Yarrowia lipolytica: one gene and its partners. The protein of the gene in region 2 purifies or fractionates together with the protein of the main gene of each other region. This does not show direct contact. Links are inferred from orthologs where the notes say so. Each region holds a gene or a part of one and is shown on either strand. Other genes may lie near its edges.

Evidence for each region.
Region 1: the proteins of YALI1_E05390g (region 2) and YALI1_E07306g purify together in Saccharomyces cerevisiae (affinity purification with mass spectrometry; 9 studies listed by BioGRID, with this or other methods). This does not show direct contact. The link is inferred for Yarrowia lipolytica from reciprocal best matches to the Saccharomyces cerevisiae genes RRP6 and MTR3.
Region 3: the proteins of YALI1_E05390g (region 2) and YALI1_B19567g purify together in Saccharomyces cerevisiae (affinity purification with mass spectrometry; 11 studies listed by BioGRID, with this or other methods). This does not show direct contact. The link is inferred for Yarrowia lipolytica from reciprocal best matches to the Saccharomyces cerevisiae genes RRP6 and RRP43.

What each region holds. Positions count from the first base shown.
Region 1 is NC_090774.1:726,950-734,039, forward strand, and holds YALI1_E07306g (uncharacterized protein), read left to right. Parts: upstream 1-3,710; coding exon 3,711-4,499; downstream 4,500-7,090. Other genes in the region: YALI1_E07302g (uncharacterized protein), read right to left, coding at 265-3,312; YALI1_E07347g (uncharacterized protein), read right to left, coding at 4,968-7,090.
Region 2 is NC_090774.1:536,052-544,714, forward strand, and holds YALI1_E05390g (uncharacterized protein), read right to left. Parts: upstream 2,977-8,663; coding exon 700-2,976; downstream 1-699. Other genes in the region: YALI1_E05403g (uncharacterized protein), read right to left, coding at 3,305-4,264; YALI1_E05416g (uncharacterized protein), read left to right, coding at 5,641-6,624; YALI1_E05446g (uncharacterized protein), read left to right, coding at 8,613-8,663. UniProt on the Saccharomyces cerevisiae protein: Nuclear-specific catalytic component of the RNA exosome complex which has 3'->5' exoribonuclease activity and participates in a multitude of cellular RNA processing and degradation events.
Region 3 is NC_090771.1:1,953,210-1,960,401, forward strand, and holds YALI1_B19567g (uncharacterized protein), read right to left. Parts: upstream 3,561-7,192; coding exon 2,592-3,560; downstream 1-2,591. Other genes in the region: YALI1_B19520g (uncharacterized protein), read left to right, coding at 1-28, 93-2,432; YALI1_B19576g (uncharacterized protein), read left to right, coding at 4,418-5,353; YALI1_B19602g (uncharacterized protein), read left to right, coding at 7,017-7,112, 7,171-7,192.

The sequences.
Region 1 (7,090 bases), about 190 kb from region 2:
ATCTATTCACAGTAGAAACGAAACTGCCTTTATAATCAGAGACAGTAACGGCCTGACCAACTTTCAATTCAAACTTGGCATTGTCCTTGTTTGACCTCTCTGTCACGTTCTACGAAAGACTACAGTATTGCACCGCTTGTTTTTGCACAACCGTACTTATCATACTCTGCTGATCCACCGAGTCATTGGTAGTACTGCTTCCATACAGCTCATCTACTCATTAATTATATAGTCTAACACCTCTAACGATCGCCAAAGAGCTCTCTAAAGATGGAGACAAACATAGGGGATATCGTCGACATCCTCACCGTCCTGGTCCTCGGCACAAACCTCAAAGATCAGAGTCTTAACGTGAGGCTCGAGCTTCTTCTTAGTGACGGCCTCCACCAGCTCGGTCAGAGTCAAATCGTACTTCTCGTTGAGCTTGGCAGGAGGGAAGAAGGAGGCGTACAGGAGAGACACGTTCTGGGACAGCATGGTCACCGTCAGGTTGTAGTTCTTCTCAAAGAACTCCAAAAACTGCTTGAGAGTCAAGTTCTCGTGAATGTCGTATCGACCCCAGATCTTGTCCAGCTCGACACCAGCAATCTCCATCTTCTGCGAAGCAATGGGCTCAGAGAAGCCCAGAAAAGGCAGAGCGAGATTGACAAAGCCGTTCTTGTAGTCCTCGATCACCTCTCGCTTGTCCACCACCTTGTAGAGCTCCAGACAGACAAGACCAGTCACCAGAGCAGTGGTGGTAGCAATAGCGGGAATGATTCGTCCAGCAATGAACTTGGTCTTGTGTCGATCAGCGCCGTCAATAGCGTAGTTCTGAGCTCGACAGTTGGAGGCAGCCGTGATGAACTGGATGTGGAAGTTGGTGTCATCGTCCTTCTCAAACTCAACGGGAGTGAGTCGGAAACCAGCCAGAGAAGAAGGAGGAGGCAGCGAGTTGGCCAGCTGGGTCAGCTCCTCGGAGTCGGCATCCACAGGGTCGACGCTCTCGTTCTCGTTGGCCTGGATCTTAATACCGGACTTGGGTTCAAACTTGGGCACAGTCATGTTGTCCACAACTTCCTTGTACTCAGAAACATCAAGGTCATCACCTCGGATACCGTAGTTGAAGGCTCGCAGATTAGCGCCAGCAATGAGAAAATCCAGATGGTCCTGGTTGTTGAAATCAAATTCGAGAGCGTCAGGAGCTCGCTTAGGTCCAGACCAGAAAGGAGCACCAGTAGAAGTGGTGGCGTCCTTGGGGAAGTTGTACAGAAGCTGACTAATGTCGCCGTTGAACTTCTTCTCAAACTCCAGACGGGCCCACTGGACACACTCCTTGAAAGTCGTAGGTCGTTCGTCCACCAGGTACGACTTGATGTTCTCCAGAATAGACTTCTGGTCACCAGTCTGCTTGAGGGTGGACTCCACAAAATTGGGCTGGCTCAGAAACAGATTCACAGACTCAACATTGTCGGTAAAGTAGCCCTGGAAGATGGATTTGGCCCAGGCAATCGTGTGGTCAACCTTATTAGGGAAAGATCGCAGAGTACAGAGGGGAATGCCCTTCTCAGGGGGATCCTGGGAGGAAGAGTACGATTCAGTCAGGTTGGGGTAGACAACCTGCACGTTACCCTTGGTTCCCAGGGTTCCTGACTCGAGCAGAGGCTTCTGGAAAAAGACACATCGTCGATCGACGTAGGTTCGGGCGTCAACGTTGTCCAGAGCGTTAGTCACAAAGTCCAGAGACTTCCAGAACGAGTCGTCGAAGATGTTCTCGGTATCGGGACCGACCTTGTCGAGCTTGGCATCAAAGTGGCCCTTGAGATCAGGGTTCATCTCTGCCACAGCCTCGGTAGCGGTCACGGACTTGTGTTTGCCCACATCCTTGGGTCGGAACAGAAACTGTCGGTTAAGGTTGGACTTCTCAATCACGTCGTTATCGGTCACGTGGATCTCTCCGTCCTTTCCAAGACCCATGAGAGCCCAGTTCTTAAGCATCTCGCAACCGATGGCTCCAGAGCCAACCAGGAAAGTCTTAACAGCAAAAATCTTCTCGGTGAACTCCTTACCAAAGACGGCAACCTGTCGGTCATATCGCGAGCCGGTGGGAGCCACAGACTGCTCAGTTAGAGCCACGTCCTTGGGCAGAGACTCCAAAGAGTCGAAGTAGACCCACTGTCGGATGGGGCCAAACTTGCCCGAGCAGCCCTTCAGTACCTCCTGGGCAGCCATTCCACCAAAGAGAGCAGTCATGGCGGGCAGTTCACCAGCGGCCTGGAAAGACAGCTGGGTGAGCAGCTTTTCGTCGATTTCGCCTCCAGAAAGCACGTCGGGGTACTCTGCAGTGACGCTCTTGGCCAGGTGCAGCACCTCGTTGGCGTCCTCGGTATTCTGAGGTCGGGGGGCTCGACCGTGCTTCTGCTGGAACGCCTGGACGGCCATGAAGCCGACATGTAGCTGTGCGGGTCGCTCCATCTTGGCGAAGTCGGAAATCAGTAACTCGGGCTTGGCCAGCTGCTCCTTGAGCGAACCAAACGAAATCTCCTGGGGCATCTTGACCTGGGTGAAAAGACCTCCCTTCTTGTAGGTGCCCAGACCGTCAACAGAACCAATATTGAACGAATAAGGACCTGTGACCTTGATCTTTCGGGGAGTGTCACCGTTGATATCGAGACCCTCGACCTCAGTGAACTTAACATAATCTCCATCCTCAAGGTTGTGTCGAGTCTCATCGAGAGCAGCAACGTTACCCTCCTCGTCAATACCGGCAATGATTCCGGAATGGGGCTCCTCTCCGTTGGCGTCAATCAGAGCAAAAGATGAGCCAAAATCGACAAAGATGTTACCGAAAAGACCTCGGGTGTCTGTGCTGACAAACCCAATATTCTGCTTGTGTGTGATTTCGTTGACTCGAATCTGTTCTTCTAGAGAAGCATTGGTCAGCACAACCACCTGGAATCGAGCCACCTCCTCCTCGGAGAGATCCTTGGCCTCCAAAACGTGCACAGGAACGTACGAATTGAGCTCTGCCAGTCGAGGCTGAGACACCTGGTCTCGTCGCTTGCCCACGTCGTCCTCTCGCAGGAAAAACTGGGCACTGAGATCTGCAACCTCGGTCTTGCCGGGGTCATACAGAGTCAGCGACTTGACTCCAGCCAGAACAATGTTCTTGGCAATCTCAATTCCCAGACCCTGGAGACCCACGATAAGAACGTTGGAGTTGGCCATCTTCTTCATGGCCTCGTGTCCAAGCACATAGAGCTGTCGCGAGTACAGGGACTCATCAATTTCGCCTGCGTTGTCGATTTGCATCTTGTCTGACTTGTCTGACATTGCAAAAGTGGTAGTTGTGTAAGTGTAGATTGAACTGTGGCAAGGAATCGTGTGGAACTAAGTGTCGTCAACCTTGATGTTGGGTTAGGGTAAACGGAGATAATGTGGAGCAATGAATAATTGAGGACATTATATATAGAGAAAGGGAGGTTTGGGTTTAAGGTTGAGTCATAAGGGCCTTTTAGTTGCTTACCAATTGATTTGCTATCTTCGTTTGCTACATGTTTGTCGTATTAGAAGTCTTTAGTCAGCACCACCACGCTGTATCAAAATCAGGTCACCCGCAGCTTACGTAATTAGCTATCTACCAAATAAACTTCGCTCCCAACGCTAACCACGCCTGCACCAACATCGTGCAGAAATTTATTTGTGAGTTTCACTATCAACCACACAACACTATGACTGACCGAAGACGAGTTTTGGGGCCTGCTGACGCGGTGCCATTCACCCTGGACAACATCAAGCCGACCGAGGTTGAGCAGAAAAGCCTGGATATCGGCAGCATCTTCGTCAAGACCGGAGTGGTCGAAAACGCAAACGGATCGGCCTACTTGGAGCTGGATGATATCAAAATTGTGGCCATTGTCCATGGTCCTCGACCTATGAGAGGTCTGTTCACAACATCGGCCATCCTGAACGTGGACACAAAATTTCTCCCTGTCTCTCTCTGCGATATTGAGAGTAAGAGTGCTGTGGTTAGCTCCACCCAGCTGACCCAATACATTCGATCTGCCAGCACCACACAGAGCTCTTCTCTGCAGAAGAACGTTTCATCGTACGTCCACACCTCTCTCCTGCCCAGCATATTGGTCGAGAAGTACCCCAAGTCCACCATCGATGTCAGCATATCAGTTCTGTCTTCTTCCAATAATACCAAGACCACCGTGGCTGCCGCAGTTTCGTGCGCTGGCGCCGCTCTGGCCGATTCCGGTCTCGAGTGCACCGATATTGTGACAGCAGGAAGTGTGCTGCTCGATGAGAACAAGGCAACTGTGTCGCCCTCAAGAGCACCTACCAGCGAGATTGACGGAGTAGTATCCTACATGGCAGCAAGCAAGAAGATTGTGGGCATGTGGATTGAAGGCGGTAACGTGAGCGAGAAGCAGATGGAGGAGATTTTCGACAAGACCGAGGAGATGGCCCGGGAGATCAGAGGAGTCATGCATGGAGTTTTGTTGGAGCAATAAGGAATGACTGGAATGAGTCTGTGAGCATGCGTGGAAAACTTAGTGGCACAACATACTGAGGGTGTCATAAGTATCCTCACCGATAGAATGGTTCACCGACCACGTGAATGGAGGAGTGCACAGAGTCATACAGCAGCTAGGGTGCTTGATGTCGCGTTTAAAACACAACCAACCAAACTACGGGTACATAATATTACATAGATAACGCATTGAACATTACATGTTACGTAGTTGTAAGTGTCAATTGCGGTCAATCAATGTACTGTCATCACCATTCTATCTACTATAGACCCCTACGTCAAGGTCTGTAGCCCGTGGCCCAGAATTACACGTCACTCGCAACTCTGGTTTGTGCTCTTCACTTGATCCGATATTTGTTGACACACACACACACACACACACACGTTCTTCCAGATATGCTCTCTGCAAACAATTTTCAATCTATTCATACATATTCATTCTCCTCCTTTATACAGTAAGACCTTTAAGGGCGTCTCTAATTCTGAGCAGTCGCTCAGCCAAATTCTCCACAGACTCATCCGATTGAAGCACCTCCTGCGCCAGCTCAACGTTGAAATACGCCTGAACGGCAGCCTGCACTCTGTTGATCACCTTGGGTTCCTCAAGAGCCCAGTAGTCGTCCACTTCCTCAGGAGGGAACTCCATAGATAGAGAGAAGCATCGCTGGACGATGGGGAGGATCTCAAGAGCCAGAGTCTTTGCATCCACCTCTCCAGATAGATCAATCTTAGGAGCCACAATCTCGAAAGGTTCCGAGGTGCTGAGCACAGTGTGCTTGCCAGCATGGTGGTATCTGAACTCGTAGACTCCACACTCCCAGAAGAGTGTGTCCCCTCGGAAAACAACTTCTCCATTGGTCTTAGAAGACGACACAATACCGTCGAGATGCGACTCATGGCCAGTCTCGTCGATTCCAGACCATCGGCCCTTGGAGGGAAGAGAAGTCACCTCAGGGGAAGTGTTGTCGTGCACTCGGTACAGACCGATCCAGTCCTTTGCCGATCTGTTGGGAGAAGCCTGCCACTTGACATGAATGGGGGTTCCAAAGGCGTACGAAATTCGGTTGGAATCGGCACACTTCTCGCCGCCCACGAGCTTCACAGAGTAATCGGCAGTGTCAATGTTTTCGGGAACATCCAGCATTCGAGTAAGGGTAAGTTTGGCAGGGTACTGTCGCAACAGGATCTTGGAGTCGTTGACAACTTCGTTGAGAGTAGGCTTGGCAAGTCCAATGAACTCCTCGACCACAGTCAGAGTATCGTTGATAACCTTGTCAACGGATCCCTGGAACTGTCGAACCCGTTTCTCAAAGGGAGAAGGCAACTTGAGAGAGTTCTTAATGGTCTTGGTCACACCAGCATCGTGTCGGATACTGGTACCGTAGATTCGCTGCATGTGGGGCTGCTCGACGAACTTGATGAATGCCATACCCTCCAGAGTCCACAAGAAGGCCAAAATACCAACACCTGGAGAGTTGGTCATCAGAGCAAGACCCCAGATGCCAGCAATACCGAAAAATCGCTCTGGGTTGTTGAGGTATCTGTAAATGCCGGAGTAAGTGAGGTTCTGCTTTCGGTCAAGGAAGAAGTCACCGTAGAACCATCCAAAATGCCCAAGAGAGTCATGGATGGACTTCGATGTCCAGCCATGCAGAGCAATAAGTAGAGCGCCAAGAATGTACTTAAGGGGCCACAGAGGATCGGTGGAAGGAGCTCTCCACTGTCGCAGGCAAAAGAGACCAAATGTGGTGTAGGACAACACGGTGGAGACGTTGTACCACACTTGCCACTGCTCGTATGCCTCAAAGGGGTAGATTCCAAACTTGAGGAAGGTCTTGGTGAAGGATCGTCGCTCGGACTGTCGTCGCAGTATGACTCCAAGACCCAGAGTGTGGAAAAGACGAGCAGACAGAGCCATGAAAAAAGTCACAGTGTACCACAGACGGTTGGCAGGGAGGAAGTAGAGCAGCATTGTATAGACTGCAGCTCCCACAGTCATGATATCTGTGACTCGAGTGATCTGGAAGTTGCTAAACACAACCAACGGAGGAAGGGAGTGTTTCTGGACAGTCTCCGGCTCGTCAAAAGTAGTAGAAATGGGAGTAGAGGCAATAGAAACGGACTCGTCGCCCTCAACAATAGCAGACAGCTCATCCTTCTGTTTCTGATCGAGCCCCAGCTGGATGGAAGATCGGTCTCGGACGTGAGAAGCCTTTCGTCGCTGCTTGGGCTGATGGGGGTTGTAAGTCTTTTCAATGTGAGGATTCTCAACGATGGATAGGAACACAAACTGGGCAGCGTGGCCGGCCAGAGAGGCCAGGAACAGGGTGTAGGAACAGGCCATGAGAGAGGCGGCGTAGAAACCAGCGTATCCAATGGAGTACATGGGATGAGGGGCCATCTCAAAGACACCATCAAAAGTCAACTCCATGTCCTTGAGGAAGAAGAAGTCTCCCCAGTACCAGGCATAATCCTTGACGACTCGGTGGGCGTCAGTCTTAGCCCACAGGTTGAAGGCTAGCATTAGAGCTCCGGCGAGCCATCGTCCAATAACAAGCCACCAGGGCTGGT
Region 2 (8,663 bases):
TTGTAGCTTGTATTTTGGCAAATCGCTCAACCCATAACCACGTTTGCTTGGTGTGGATTTCTTTGTGTCTTTTTGATATCTTTGGCCTTGTTCTCATGGACCTAAATTCTCTGTGTGGAGTTACTTTGCCACAGTGGCAAAACGACCAAGCGAAAGTGAGTTAAGGTGCAGCACGGTTAGTAATGGACCCTTTGATTGGCCACAGTTTTGTCTGGACAACTCAACAACCGCTGGAATAGCGATACTAGAGGTTTATCTACGACGAGAATGGTTTTGTAGAGGAATCACCAGAAGAATCTGAAACAGTAGAAAAACCAATGGCAAGTAAAGTTGCAAGCCGTTGCATTTTAGAAATGTAACAATGAAACCATCTGAAAGTCAAACATGTCGCCATGGTAGTCCCGGCAGACATGGAGCTCTCGCGACCCCCTACAACAGTTGTTTCCTTTAACAAGCACCCACTGTAATTACCGTATGTACTGTAAGTGGGGTTTTGAATTATTTTACAGGCCATCTCATAATGACTACTTGTAGGGGCTGTTTATTCTGTTTATTACACCCCTGGCCAACTTGGGACAAGCACAAGGGCTACGAACATTGATATTTCTCTCACCCACTTTAAAAACATGACATCAAATCCACCGTATATTACAATCTATATATTTTAATACTCCATGAGTACTTTAAGTTGTTTGTTGCCTATGTACGCCGTTTCTTGTACTGGACTGATCGAGCACCTCCATCCTTGGGTCCTCGTCGCTTAGAAGCACCCTTGGCATCCTCCTTTATTTCGTAGGGGTTAAACTGTTTCTTCTCCTTGGCCTTCTGTTTTCGGGCAGTCATGGCAGCCTTCTTCTCGGCGGCCTTCTGATCGTCGGACTTGAGAATAGAAGCACCAGCAGAGTAGTCAAACGGAGTGAACTCCTCGGACTTCTCCTTTGCTACTCCCTTCTTAGCCTCCTTGTCAGCTGTGTACTTCTTGTTAGACTTGGCAATAATGATATCATTGGCATGCTCGTGCTCATCTTCAGAGTAATCAGACTCGTCGTCAGCAGCGGCATCCTGCTCAACCTTGACCTCCTCCTCAGCGTTCTGGACTTCGCTATCAGATTCAGTAGAGTCAACAGATAGGGGTGCGACGGGAACCGCCAAAACCATCATATGCTTATCAATCTTGGAAACACCAAGAGGACCTAGAGCAGTCTCCTTTACATGTACAATAGACGACTTGGAAGAGTCGAATTTGCCTGTGATATCTGACTGTCCGTCCTGGGCTGCCAGGAAGATGACCTCTGCGATTTCAGAAAACTCTGCCCCCTCAATAGACTCGGCAGCGAGGACGGGCTCCTCCTCAACCTGCTCTACCTCAACATGCTCGTCCTTGGAATCCTTGATGACGTCCAGAATCTCCTCAACGTTTTTTCGAACAAGAAGCGGGAGAGACTTGGATACACTGAACACAGCCTCGGGCGTTTGAGGCATTCGGTTGGCAAGTGAAACGAGCAGATAGTTAGGCATCACGTAGCCAGTAGACTCGTCCTCCTTTCGAGCCATGCTGTCTCTCCACAAGAAAAGAGCCTTGGCGACTGAGACACTAGGCCCAGTGATGTGGAACTGAGAAATGAGACGATTGATACCTCCCTCGTAGTCGAACGACTTGAGATAGTACCTTGGGTCGTAGCCGGTGTACTCATACCTCTGGGAAGCAGTCTGTCTGCTCTTTTCCAAAACTCCCTCGATCTTGTCCTTCTGCACGAGCGCATTCTTCAGCTGATCGTAGATGTTGAGCAGGAAGTGGGTATCTGCTCGGGCGTAGAGAAGCTGCTCAGGCGACATAGGTCGAATTCGCCAGTCACTGAGTTGGTACTTCTTAGAAGTGACGAAGTTGGCGTAATGCTGGAGAAGGAACGCTAAACTGTGTCCCTTGAGGCCAAGGGCCTGGGCGGCATGGAAGGTGTCGAACAGAGACACAATGTACAGACCGAAATCTCTTTGGAGCCACTGAATATCCATAGTGGCTCCATGCAAAACCTTGACAATCTTGGGGTCAGTCAAAACCTCATTGAAGATCTCGAGGTTTCGGAGAGCGATGGTGTCGATGATGTAATCTTGCTCCCGAGAGGAAACCTGCACAAGACATGTGATGCCGTAGTATGTTCGCATGGAATGATGTTCGACATCGATGGCTATCTCCTCCTGGGTCTTCAGGTGGTCAACCATGTCTCTGAGTTTCTCCTCTGTGTCAACGTAGATGTATTCATCCTCTCCTTCAGCCTCCCATGGTCGGTTAGGAATGACCTCTGTCTCCTCGTACACCTCATCTGGGTAGGGCTGCTCCATTATCTCCTTGGCGTAGGGCTGTGGGTAGTGATCTCGTCTGTCATCTTCAGTCACCAATTCGAACGCGTCCTCTAGGGGCTCCAGAGCATTTGGTTTCGAGGTGAGTTTGGGTTTGAAGGGAGTGTCTCTCGAATTGTCGACCTCCCACATCTCCTGGGGCTTCCATTGCGGCCCCTTGATCTCGCTAGATGACTGAATGGCATTTCCTACTCGGATCTTCTCTCCGAGCGTCTGAGGGCCAGTCTTCTTGGACTCGGCAATCTCAACCTTGTCTCCCTTTTTGTTCAGCTTTCCGAGCTGAATGTCGGTTTTCTCGTACAGGTCATCGACAACAGACGAGAACTCATTCCAGTGTCGGTTCACAGTGTCGAGCTCGGGAGGAAAAGATCCCACTTCGTTCGGGGCAATCTTCTGGGCCAGCTGGTTGACCACTCCAATGAGCTGTGATGCATTCTCCTTCACGCTGTCGGCCACCTTGTCATCAATAGAGCTGTAGAACTTGATGTCGTGCGAAGCAAGACCACGGGCAGCCTTGGCAGTCTGTTGGGCCAGTCGCACAACACTATCGATTTCCATCTTGTATGTGTTGTGGTGATGGGAATGGACTGGGAATAGGCTGTTGGAAAATTGATGCATATACAGAGAAATAATTTACGATTAGGTTTAGGGCTAGCTAACACAAATCGGGTAGTAATACGGTACATACTATACTTGAAGTTGGAGGGTCCAGCGGATATGGTGAAGTGATAGACAGGTATTCTCTTATCCGTCCTACTCTATTCGACGAGCGGATTTTTTTTATTTTTTGTCAGTCTCTTTGGTGCAACCACCGAAATCTCTCTCTACTATACTGCTTGTGCTGTTCTACGACGTGCATACTTGTATTACTTGTAGGTCGTCTAGCTAGATTGTCTATACCGAATCTTTTATGTACAATGGGTGCTCATACAAACGACCCAGTTATCTATTCTTCATCTTCAGCCTCCTCCACCAGCTCCACGATATCGGTTCCAGGAATCAGACGAATGGTCACATCTGTCTCTCCTGCAATGATGCCCCACATGATGGATCCATCCCATTGTTCTGCAATGTCATTGTAGAGACCTTCCAGGATATCTGGGTCGTTGGACCCCTCTCCAAGAACCTCCTTGATGGCTGCATCCATGCTGCTAGAGCTTCCAAACAGCCATGGCCGGTGTGCAAGAAACAGAGGATTCTCTACCTGCTCCAGCACTCCTTCTCGGAACTTTCGGTTTGCAGCCACCAGCTCCTCATATGTGAGACCCAGAGACTGGAACATGGCCTCTGTAAGTTTTCGAGAGATGGGGGATATGGGAACCTCATCGGGGAAAACTCGAGGCAGCACGTACTTCCACAAAATATCGTCCATGTAGAGATCAGACGAGAGGAGAGGCTCTGTGGGCTTGAAACCACTCTCAGCGACATCCGCCAGCTTCTTCTTGTTGTATTGCATCTTCTTAATCTCCAAGAGAACCCGTAGCTCGGACATGTATTCGTTCATACCCACAGGCTTGTGATCGTGAGCTCCCCACCACCATGTAACCTTTTTGCCTTCCTTCAGAGCCTTGACTCGGTCTGCACGAGCTCGCTGGGCCCAGGGGTCGTATGTGAGGTTTCTCGTGCGTGCCAAATCAAATATTGCGGTGCAGCCGATGAGTGCTGATCCAGTGAGGATGCCTGTAGCCTTGACTGCTCTGTATGGCCACTTTCCGTATTTGGCCCTGAAAGTTGATCTCCGCGGATAGGCTAGCAGCAAGACGCCCACACCCATCTGAGCAGCACATACAATGGTAAGTGCATATTTGTTATCGGCCGCGGGTACCAGTTTGCCCCACATGCGCAGGACAAATGAGGGCTGCTGATACTTGGGAAAGAACCCATCTTGGTCTTTGTCGTTTGCCATTTTCTGTGTCACGTCAACTTCCTAATCAAATGCTTTTATGTTGAGTGTTTGCCACGTTGTGTTAACCGCCCGTTACTTGTTGTAAGGCTTTTCGCTCTTCCTCTCGGCGTAATGAGTGAAGATGGCGTAAATCAAGTCAAATCCTCCTGTTCTGCACGATATGTGATGGAAATGGCATGCATGACTAAGGGGTCCTAACCCTACAACTACAGTAAAGAAACACGGAGTTTGATACTGAAACTATTTCATCCAACAGGACACAGCTATCGTGCACAGAGCAACACTACAGGTAGAAAGAGGTTACCAGCGAATATGTTTTCAATATATCTCAAACGGTGGACGTTACATAAAATCAAGGAGCGTAATCATCAACGGCATCATCACTTGAAGCCACATGTATAAGTGTATGTACTGTACTTCAGATTTGTGCATGATCGCCACGAGCAATATCTGAGAGCTTATAATATAAGTCAAAAAAGGTGACGAGGGTGGTATCGCGAAGGTGGCGAAGACACCAAGTGTGACAGACCCCGGCTAATTGCGGCAGATTGTTATTGAGGGCTTTTGGCTCAAACACGTCGAATAATTACAAGTGCCCTATTTGGACTCCTTCATATCGATACTGCATTTGTATGGGCAGGAGGCGATTATACAGTGAACTACAGACGACACCATAAATGGAGTAACCACTGTAGAGATAGTACGGGCTTGGCTATCGTAACCGTGTATCACACCCTGGATATATTGTTCTTAAACATTAGCGGCCCATTGCCTAATATCACCGGTGTCTTACGACTCAGCAGTCATTCGTGATTACAATACCTGAAAGGAGGCTGCCTCCTTTGTCACAGCTTACTAAATTTGAGTCAAGCCCTTTTCCAGAAGCCCATATGCATGACGACGCGTGTACGAACGCACAAGTACTATGTTCATTCGTTGTCTTTGGTGCACCCGGTTATCTGATTGTTAACATTGATAGCAACATCGCATTGTTGTTCATGCCTGAGCATTTTATCAATCTGACCAAGTGCACGACTTCATTCGAAGTCGTGCACTTTAATTACGTCACGGTCAATTTTGCGTGAATAATGCTCCATCGGTTAACTCCTCCACTCAGCGTAACTGGGTTCCGCACTATCTCTTGGTTAGGATCATTAACACGAAACTTCATTCCCCTCTAAAAGTAATAGCGACAACAGGAGCATGTATTGGTAATCGATCTACTTTTATGTGGGGTTAGCTCGCGCCGTGCATATGGCATGTTGGCCATGGCTTCATTGTGGCTTGGGGCCGTCTATGACGAACACTATATATTAGTAGGACCTCGTCTCTAATGAGGTTACAACTTCTTATCCGACTCTACAATACCAAGAAAAATGGCCCGCACACCTGTCTACTTCATTCCTCATGGAGGCCCCACCTTCATGTACGAGAATCACCCTGGAGGAGATAAAGGAGCCTTTGACTATCTCAGACATCTTGGACGAGATCTGATCCAGAAACACAAGGAGAATCCCGACTCTGTCAAGGGCGTTATTGTTATGTCGGCCCACTGGGAAAGTGCGAACCAGCAGGACGAGAACCCCAAGGGTACCGGTAACAACGAGTTTCCCAAGGTCAATGGTAAGGGTATTCCCGTGGGAATTGTGACTGACAAAAACGACAACTACCCCAACCTCGAATACGATTTCTTCAATTTCCCAGCCCACATGTATGAGGAGAAGTTCTGGGCTAAGGGCAACCATGCCTCTGCTGAGAAGATCGCCAAACTTATTGATAACACCCCTGGCTACTATGCCCAATTGAGAAGTGACAAGAAGTGGGATCATGGCGTGTGGGTCGCTTCCAGAGTTATGTTTGAAGAAGCTGGTGAGGAAAAAGGTGCCCTCAAGTTCCCCATCATCAATATTTCAGAACCTGCAGGTGACGACGTGGACCATCTGAGTCCTCGACAGCTGTCTGAGAGATTCTACAACCTCGGCAAGGCACTCGCACCTCTGAGAGATGAGGGATATTGGATAATTGGATCCGGTATGTCAGTTCACAATCTTCGAGAACGACGTAAGTTTGCTGATGGTGGAGAGCCCGAGTATTCCCAGCCTTTTGAAGATGCTGTCAAGGACGTGGTAGAGAATGTCACGAGTGTGCCTGTTTCTGATGAGCAAAATCTGGAAAACCTTTCAGAGCTTTGGAAGAACCCTCACCGACCAGCTGCCCATCCCACCGCTGAACATCTCTTTCCCTTCTACTTCTCAGCAGGAGCTGCTGACGGTGACAAGGGTGTTCAGGAGTACACAAAGATCTCAGGCAGCACTGCATGGGGTCTATTCAAATGGGGTGGTTCCACAGGAGATTATTAAATGCTGTTTTTAGCTGTGTCTAGCAATACCATCATACCCCTCAGTTTGTGGGGAAGATCCTGAAGAATGTGCGAGCAAGACATGTGATTCGTAGCGTTCGAGCATGGGTGGCTTGTTTATGCCTTGGTAATTTTCACCTTTAGAGCCGTATGAACTATATTGAATGGCAACCGAGAATACGATCGAAGTGTTCGTTCAAGGCTGAGCATTCGTATGCCATGTTCATGTATAACTCGTGCGAGATATTGTGGACGGCCCGTTCCGCATAAGTACTGTCAATACATATCGAATCAAAACCAATGAAATTTTCAGCCTCTTGCAACCGTTGAAACATTAGGTGTCCAGCTATCTCATGAACCGACGGTTATCGGGAATGAATTCCGTAGAGTTCCAGGAAATTTAACCTGCCAGTTTAGCACCAACCCTTGAGGTTTATCAAAATAGGCGTTTGGAGGAGATCCACTTCTTCTTGAGGTCCGCTGGAACAATGAGGGCGTACGCAATGAAGGTCCCACTGAATTACTCGGGGGAAGCATGATCCTCTTTGTTTACAGAAGGAACCGTTAACTGCCGAACTCAATGCGTCTCGATAGCACGAGTACATACTACTTGTAGTACTACTTGTAGCACTTCCGGTACAGACAGAAGTACGAGTAATTGTAACTATACAAAAAACAAGGGGTAATCAGAGCCTGCATAGGTCCTTAGAGGAGTTATTTCATGAGACGCATGCACCTCTCTAGTCCTTGAAAGTCTTACCAGTTCACTTCTAAGCGGTGGTACGAGGTGTCTCGTCTTGGCATGTCTTTTCGAAATGGTAGCGTGCACATGAAGGTCTTCGATGCCACCTTGCCGATGCTACCATCATGTAGGTTTCCTGTGAAGCATGATCTGACAGCCAATGATAGCGGGAGATTATGCCTGTTCTGGTTGTCTCGAAGTGAGACGGTTGTTTGATGCTCGCTAATCTTGCGTCATTACTGCCATGCTCGGTTAGCTAAAGGACCTTGGAAAATCCCGTTCACACCTCATTCTTCCTGGGGCTCTGCAGGTCCTATCTTGAAGACAAATTACCTCAACATTCCGTACCAGAGTCTGGCGCAGTAAAGCTTCCTTTAACTTGGTCGGAGTCAGAAGGTTTCGGTGGAGTTGGCAGTTGAGAGAGAGCCACAATTCATTTAGAGTCTTGGCTGCATCGGAGCCAGACTTGATGTCAGCTCTTGGCCTCTTGGCATTGATGTGCATGTTTCCGGTAGACAAAAGGCGGTGGGAAATTGAATATTTTTCCATTTCCAGGAGTTAGTATCTACATCACTCACCTGATTAGTTAATTTAAGCCTTTCTTGCTCGCAGAATAATGGTGACTTCACTGATAACGATATGAACCATGCTTGATGGCGACTGAACCGTATCAGAAGTTATCTTTCTCTCCTCCTTCGGGATATTTTCAAGCCACTCTATCTAAGCTCCATACTGGACAAAGACCACGTTATATATCTAAGGCAGAGATATCACAAGTGCTCGTATTTATATTGGTTTCCTTTTGACTGGGCTCAGCAAGAGGTACAGATCAGCTAACTACAGTATCATTATTTTTGTGGAGGATGTCATTCTGCGGTAACCGTGGAACGAGAACAGGGTGGTGTTAAAGGAGGCCAGCCTCACGTAAACAAATCCCCACATCAAGGAATGTCGCCTTTCCTATGCATGTGTCCTTAAGTCACTGGCAAACTATAGCCGAGAAAGTCCCTGTTACTTGTACTCTACTGTACTGACGTCAAGCTCAAGCCTTCGAGCTCTAACTGTCTTCTTGCTTTGCTCGAAACTCTCCTTAACCGAATGAACCTGGGCACGGCACTGTGGCTGTCAAGATTTTATGATACGATAAGGCCCAAAGAAACTCACATGAGAATATGGGGTATATATAACAGAAGTGCGTTCTGCCCATTTTATATTATCATTTTCATTCTATCACCACCCGTTTCTCAATGACTTCACACCTTGGTGACCACCTCGAGGATCACCTGGAGCCATCCAGA
Region 3 (7,192 bases), on a different chromosome or scaffold from region 2:
TCAGAGATTACCGGTGCCCAGATTTCTGGTGAGTATGAAGCGATTGAATCTAGCACAATGGAGGTTTTCCTTTTGATCACTAACTAACACAGTACGACGCAAATTCTATCGCACCACCTCCATCAACTCAGATCATTGTCAAGGGTCTTTCTTCACTAACTACCTCTAAAACTATCACTGCCCATTTCAAGACATATGGTGAGCTTGAAGCCGTCAACATGGTAGAGGACCCTGCTACAGGTTCTTCAGTGGGAGCATGTCTGGTTCGATTCAAGGTGACGAAAAACAATTACGAGGCCGCCCATGAGTGCCTCAAAAAGGCCATCCGAGGCCAAAAAACAGGACGAATTGACCAGGCCAAGTACAGAGTGGAGCCAGATGAGGATGGAGCCAAGGCCAAGGATATCATCAAAAGAGTGGCAGCTCGAGCAGCTAAGAAAGCCATGCCTGTCAAGCAGCCTCCTACTGCACCTGCTGCAGACAAGTCCATCATGGAGAAACTGCCCACACCTGTTCCTTCAGCTCGGCCATCTCCAAAGGCAGCGCAGTTGATGAAAACCAGCGCATACATCTTCATTGCTGGTAAGTACCTACCGTCAGAAAAAGTGTTTGCATCTGATATTCGTCGGATTCTGCGTGACTTCGGCTGGTTTGATGTTCTCAAGGAAGGAGATGGTTTCTACGTTTTCTTCGACAACAACAGGGATACTGTAGAATGTTACGAGGCCATGAATGGCAGAAAGGTGAATGGCCACCAGATGGCTATGGCTATGATTCGACTTTCTCGAGTTGCTCCCAAGACCAAAGAGAGCGAGGAAAACGCCACCGAGCAGGCCCCCAAGCTCCCTCCTAAGGAAGAGGCCCGGAAACTCATCGTACAGGAGTTGGCCAATAGTCTCCGTAAGGATATTCGGGAGCGGGTAATTGCTGCAGCCATTGTGGAGTTTCTGAATCCAGCTCGATTTACTCATATCAAGCAGGATCCTGAGCCATCTGCCGCTACTGAACCCAACACTGTTAACGCCAGTGCCGCTCGAGTAGATACTCCCGAGCCTGTGCAATCGTCTTCTGCGATCCCAGGTTTCCTTCCTCGGTTCAAAATCAAGCGAAAGGGTGATCCGACCAAGAAGAAGGATGCCACCAAGAAGAACCGAAAGAAGATATCTGCTCGTCCCATGAACCACGTTCTCAACGACTACTACTCGGATGAGGAAGACAGCACTCGAATGTCGACTCCCATTGTCCCTGATACCTCCGCTGACGCTGCCGAACTTCCTATTAGAAAACCCCGCAAGAAGATCAGTCAGTCCAAGCAGCGAATTATGGACTTCAGCAGTTCTGAAGGCTCGAATGAGTCCGAGGAAGAGGAGGAAGTGGAGGATGATATGGAAGAAGAAGAGGACGAAACTGCGCAGGAGGAACTCCAAGAAGCATCGACTCTCGATACTTCCCAACAACTTACAACTGCATTCGGCGAGATTCTCGACTGGGCTCCTGCTCACGGTTTCCCTCAACCTGTAACAGCCGACAAAAAGGGTGGTGCTCTGACTACCATATCAGGTTTCCAGGCGCTGGTTAAGGACGACGAAGATATGGAGTTGCTCCAGGAGGCCCTGGAGGGTATTGAGCCTGAAAAGATCAACGGAGAAGCATGGACGTGGACCCATAAACATCTCAACGAGGCTGTAGCCAAGGAAAACGCAGAGTTCCCCGAACTGGCTGCTCCCAACGCGTTTGTTAACTCCACTGGCTCATGGAAGTCTCAGGGATACTTCAAGATCCCTGAGGCTGCCAAATCCGAATACCTGCCTCACCGAAAGAAGCTCAACATCCCCATCGACACGCTTCAAATGGAAAACCGAGAGAAAAAGAAGGAGAACGCCTCCAACTCGCGAGTTAACCGTGCCAACAACCGGAGGCTGGTGGCAGACATCAACATGCAGAAACAGCTGCTGTCCACCGAAACCGATGTGCTCAACTTCAATCAGCTGCGAAAGCGAAAGAAGCCTGTCAAGTTCGCTCGTTCAGCTATCCACAACTGGGGTCTCTATGCTATTGAGCCCATTGCAGCCAACGAGATGATCATCGAGTACGTCGGAGAAGTTGTGCGACAGGAGATTGCCGACTTGCGAGAAGCTCGGTACATGAGGTCAGGTATCGGATCTTCATATCTGTTCAGAGTTGATGAAAGCACTGTCGTGGACGCCACAAAGCGAGGAGGTATTGCTCGGTTCATCAACCATTGCTGTACCCCCAGCTGCACGGCCAAAATCATCAAGGTGGAGGGTCAAAAACGTATCGTCATCTATGCCTCGCGGGACATTGCTGCCAACGAGGAGCTCACATATGACTACAAGTTCGAAAAGGAGATTGGAGAAGAGAGGATTCCCTGTCTGTGTGGCGCACCTGGCTGCAAGGGATACCTCAATTGATAGCACCAGTAATGTATTTTTATCATGTCTAAAACAAGTACTGTATCCGCGAGTGTTTGCACTCGTATGCTATTCTATAGACTTCTTCTACATGTAGCACAAGCACAATACAATAGTACCATTAGTTCCGCCAATTAGTCTATACATGCTTATATCCATCTACTCTTGCTTCGACAGATCCAACGCGTTCTTAATCTCGTTGAGTCCAACTCCAGTACCCTTGCCCACAAAAGAAAATCCAATAAGCGTGTCTTCCCGGCCACGCACAATCTGCAGCCGAGAGCCCTCACGGGTGCTGGAAGTGGCAGCCTGCTCAACCTCTCCTTGGACATCTGCTAACAGCACACTGGCAGCATCTTCAGAGGTGTCCATCTCGTCGTCTTCGTAGGCATCAGTCTCTGGCTTGGGTTTGATGAACCCGAACGACCGACTGCTGTGAATGTCAAGGTCGTCGACCGGAATTGTGGTAAAGTCGTGGGTGAGAGTGATTCGTCCGGTATCTTCATCAATCTCCATCAGAGGAATCTCTGTATCCTTCAGAGCAGCCAGAACAGCAGCCCATACGTAGTCCTGCACAGGTCCGTTACGACTCAGGACAGTCACATTGGCATGCAAACACAGGTATCGCTTCTGGTGCTGGCCAGCGTCAAACACGGCCTCGTCTTCCTGTCCCTCCTTCAGAAAGTTCTGGAGCTCGAAGAATTGTTTGTTTGCCTTGCAGGAGAAAATGCCCTTTTTGAGCAGATCGGTAGTCTTTCGGCTCACCACCTGCTCCTCGTCGCTGGGAGGCCCCCCCATTGCTGCACTGCTTCCGTTTGCTCCTCGCAGAACCTCGACGTTAACAAAGATTCCGCCCTCTTCCTCAGACACAGATCCGGTAACACCACACACAATACTCATTCCATCGGCCTGGATCAACGAAGAGCCCCAAACCAGAGACGCAGACTTTTCGTCGGATCCCACGGGCTTCTTAAGACCGCCCAAAAAGTGGTTGATCTTTCGGTGTTGTGTGAAGGCTCGGTTTGTAGCTGGTCGCAATCCTTGGTTGAGATGTCTGTGTAGATATAGATCGGGCACAAGTCTCGAAAATACCTCCGAAGGGTATGTGATTGGCTCCATATTCGTCATGTTGTGTGTCGTTCAGTGTAAATTAAAGATTCTTCAGGCGTTGTGCATGATACGAAATATATTTTCGACGTAAACTTAGTTGTGGCTCGTCATGTGTAGGTGAGGGGTGTACATACTGTACATACTGAACAACATGATGGTTATAATATTGACATTGAAACGGAAGAACCGAGATCAAAAAAATATAAAAATATCGAGGGTGCTTGGAATGTGTCTATTCAAAAAAAACAACAACAAAAAACTCGAAATCTGCTCTCAGATATCTCCATTATTACAATACCTTTTCCAAGTAACCTTGAAAGAAGTAGTTGAAACTTGTGGGATTTTAGTTTGAACGTCTAGGGCCATCATCGTTGGACTCTTATGCAAAAAAAGGACACTTATGAAATATAAAGACAAGGGCGGTAGCTGTTACAGTTCTTTTTGGGCCCGGTCTGGATATCTGGCATCTCTATTTCATACCTTGAACGACAACATTGTCACTCTCATGTTCAAACAGCCACGTGATCGCATGACTCCTCGGCTATTGGGAGTGACCAGCGATGGGCTGCCGGTTACGGATGTACATACTTGTACAGAATGTGGGGTGCATGGCGTGACTTAACATGTACTTATAGAATCACCTGTCTTATATTGCAACGTTAGAACGCTCAAGTAACCAAATGTTCTGATTTTTTTTTCCAGCTCGCACCCTATGATGTCACTCTTCCCTCTCTGTGCTATTTTAGACTTTAAACCTCCATCACTCACATCTCATCTGCATCCCTGAGTTTGGTCCTTGCTCACTCTCGGAAAAACATTTCATTTAAACACCTATCTTTAACTACAACTCTCTTTCTGACCCCAAATCACCAACCATGCAAATCACAATTGTCGGCTCGCTCAACTACGATCTTGTCACCATCTCCAACAGACTCCCCAACGCTGGGGAGACCATGTTCTCCCAGGGCTTTGAGACCCACTGCGGAGGTAAGGGAGCCAACCAGGCTCTTGCTACTGCCAGACTCTCTTCCAAGGTCCCTGATGTGAACGTCAAGATGTACGGAAAGGTCGGCAAAGACAACTTCGGTACTCAGTTGAAAAACAACCTCAAGGATTCTGGCGTGGACGTGTCTGCCATCCACGAGCTCGACACCAAGTCTGGAGTGGCTGTCATCTTTGTGGATCAAGACTCTGGAGAGAACCGAATCATGGTCTACGCCGGAGCCAACGGCGAGTGGACTGAGGCCGATCTCACTGACGATCTCTTCGACACAGACATGCTCATCTTCCAGAACGAGATCCCCATCGACATCGTCTACAAGGCCATCGAGAAGGCTGGATCTAAGAAGCCCAAAGTGGTCTACAACCCCAGTCCTGTGGACGAGCGAGGTAACATCCCCGCCGCCGTTCTCAACAGCATAGATTTCCTCGTGGTCAATGTGACGGAAGCCACTCTCATCTCTGGCGTCGAAATCAACGAGGAGGCATCGAAGGAGGAGATCTGGAAACAAGCTGACCAAGCTGCGGATACCCTGTTCAAGATGGGAATCAAGGAGGCCGTTGTTGTCACTCTGGGAGGTAACGGTGTCATTTACAAGACCAAGACTGATTCTGGACATGTTCCTTCTAACAAGGTCGAGAAGATTGTCGATACTACTGGTGCTGGAGACACTTTCCTTGGAGGTTTCTCCACTAGCATTATCCAGGGAAAGACAGTCTCCGAGGCCATTGCTTTCGGAAACAAGGCTGGTGGTATTGCTGTCACTCGACGAGGTGCTGCTGAGGGTATCCCTTACGATCATGAGCTTTAAGCACATTTTAGACTAATAAAAATGAAATATAATGAATCCATGGTTGGTAAAATCGAGGGAACACATAACTGTATAATCTAGTCATTCAGGTACAAGTATAGCTTTTTGTTTTATTCTTATGATCCATTACTAGTTTTTTTATTTTTATTCTACATTTCCCAAGGTTACACAATGACCTTGCAACGGTGACTAAGCAGCCGAGTTACCGGCCAGTTGCAGCCATATCCTGGTGAAAATACGGCTTCCCGTCCGATCAGCCATAGTCAAGCACCAGAGAGCCTAGTTAGTATTGTAGTGGGAGACCATACGAGAATCCTACAGTAGGTGCTGCAATTTTTTTGTAGTGTTCTTTTTTTAGGCTAAGTGCTTGTCATTGGTTGGTCATACCTACCTCTACAGTATGTAGAGAGGTATGTATGCAAGTAGTTACCTCTACTCCTACTGTACTGGCAGTGGATGAACGAAGATCTTGAGGCTTGCTCTGACGTTCATGAAGTAATATAACCGACTACATCATGTACTTGTACCAGTCCTTGTACTGAACATTACTGTACATCATCCTGTTGGGATATTTCTCGATCTGTATCTTTATGCAAGGATGCAGCTCAACTTCAACCTTCGGTGGAACTGAGGGAGAAAATTGTGAGGGAGATCAAAGTACATGGACGAGTAATAAAAGATATGAGACTCAATAGTCGCCGGTGTCTACTGAATTCATCAACCTCGTTAGTATAACTACAGTAGTTTCTTAGACTGCTCGTATGGCTGATGACAGTGCTTAGATCTGAACGAAGAACAAGTAGCGTCTCCTTCCAAGAGAATAGGACAATAAACGACCCCAGAAGTTGCCCGTGTAGAGACTAAACAAAGTAGGATTACCCAATATCTCGATCTTTTCCTTAGTTAGCGTGTATACGACGTAACCCTACACACAGTGTCGGTACGAGTAACGGTCCGAGTACAGTATGTACATAATGCTACCTGTACTTGCATTGTAGTTGTAGTTTGGTGAAGTATGCACGGTCCAAAAGTAGCTCCAAGTACTTGAAATCTCGATAACGAAATACAGGTGAGAAAGGAGGTGAACACAAATGCCTCAGCTTCGGAGGGGACTAGGCGTGTTTGTCATGGCGACACCGTCGAATTTGGGTTATCGAGTACCGTCAATTTACAGCTCACGATCATTTCATTGTTATTTTCCCTCCCCCACCCCTTTTTTTGTCTTTTGAAAACCGCCTGATATGACCGATAATGATAGTGGCGTTATTTTTTTTTTTTTCTGCATATATATCCAGCAAGAGGGGGGTGCGTCAGTTTAAGTTCTACAGTAGATCTAAACGACAGTATGGGGGAGTAAATACAGAAACGGTGTAAGTTTTTCATACGGGAAGTGTAAGTGGTCTATCAGTAAGAGAATCAACTTAAGCAGATATAATAAACATATCTGGTCTTTGAAATCTCTCAAACAACGTATTGAACACCGCCATTACTCCGACTTTTAGTTCCTCCGGATCCACCCTACACACGTGACATCGTGCGGCTCAACAAACCCAATTCAAAATAATAGTCGTCTGGCATAAGCATTTGGCAACGCTCAGAACAAACTTACCAACTAACCGTCTTTGAAAACACATGCCTGGTGTCTTCCGTTTGGATAGACCAGATGGAGTTACAGGAACTGCAAGAAAACGAGGCGGAGGCTTTGAAGGCCATCTACATGGACGATTTTGTTGACACCACAAAGTCATCTGCATGGAACGTGAGTACTTGTATCCAAGAATGAGGGATGAATAAGTGAACCAGTGACGCTAACATAGAAAACGCCTTCGCCATCATTTG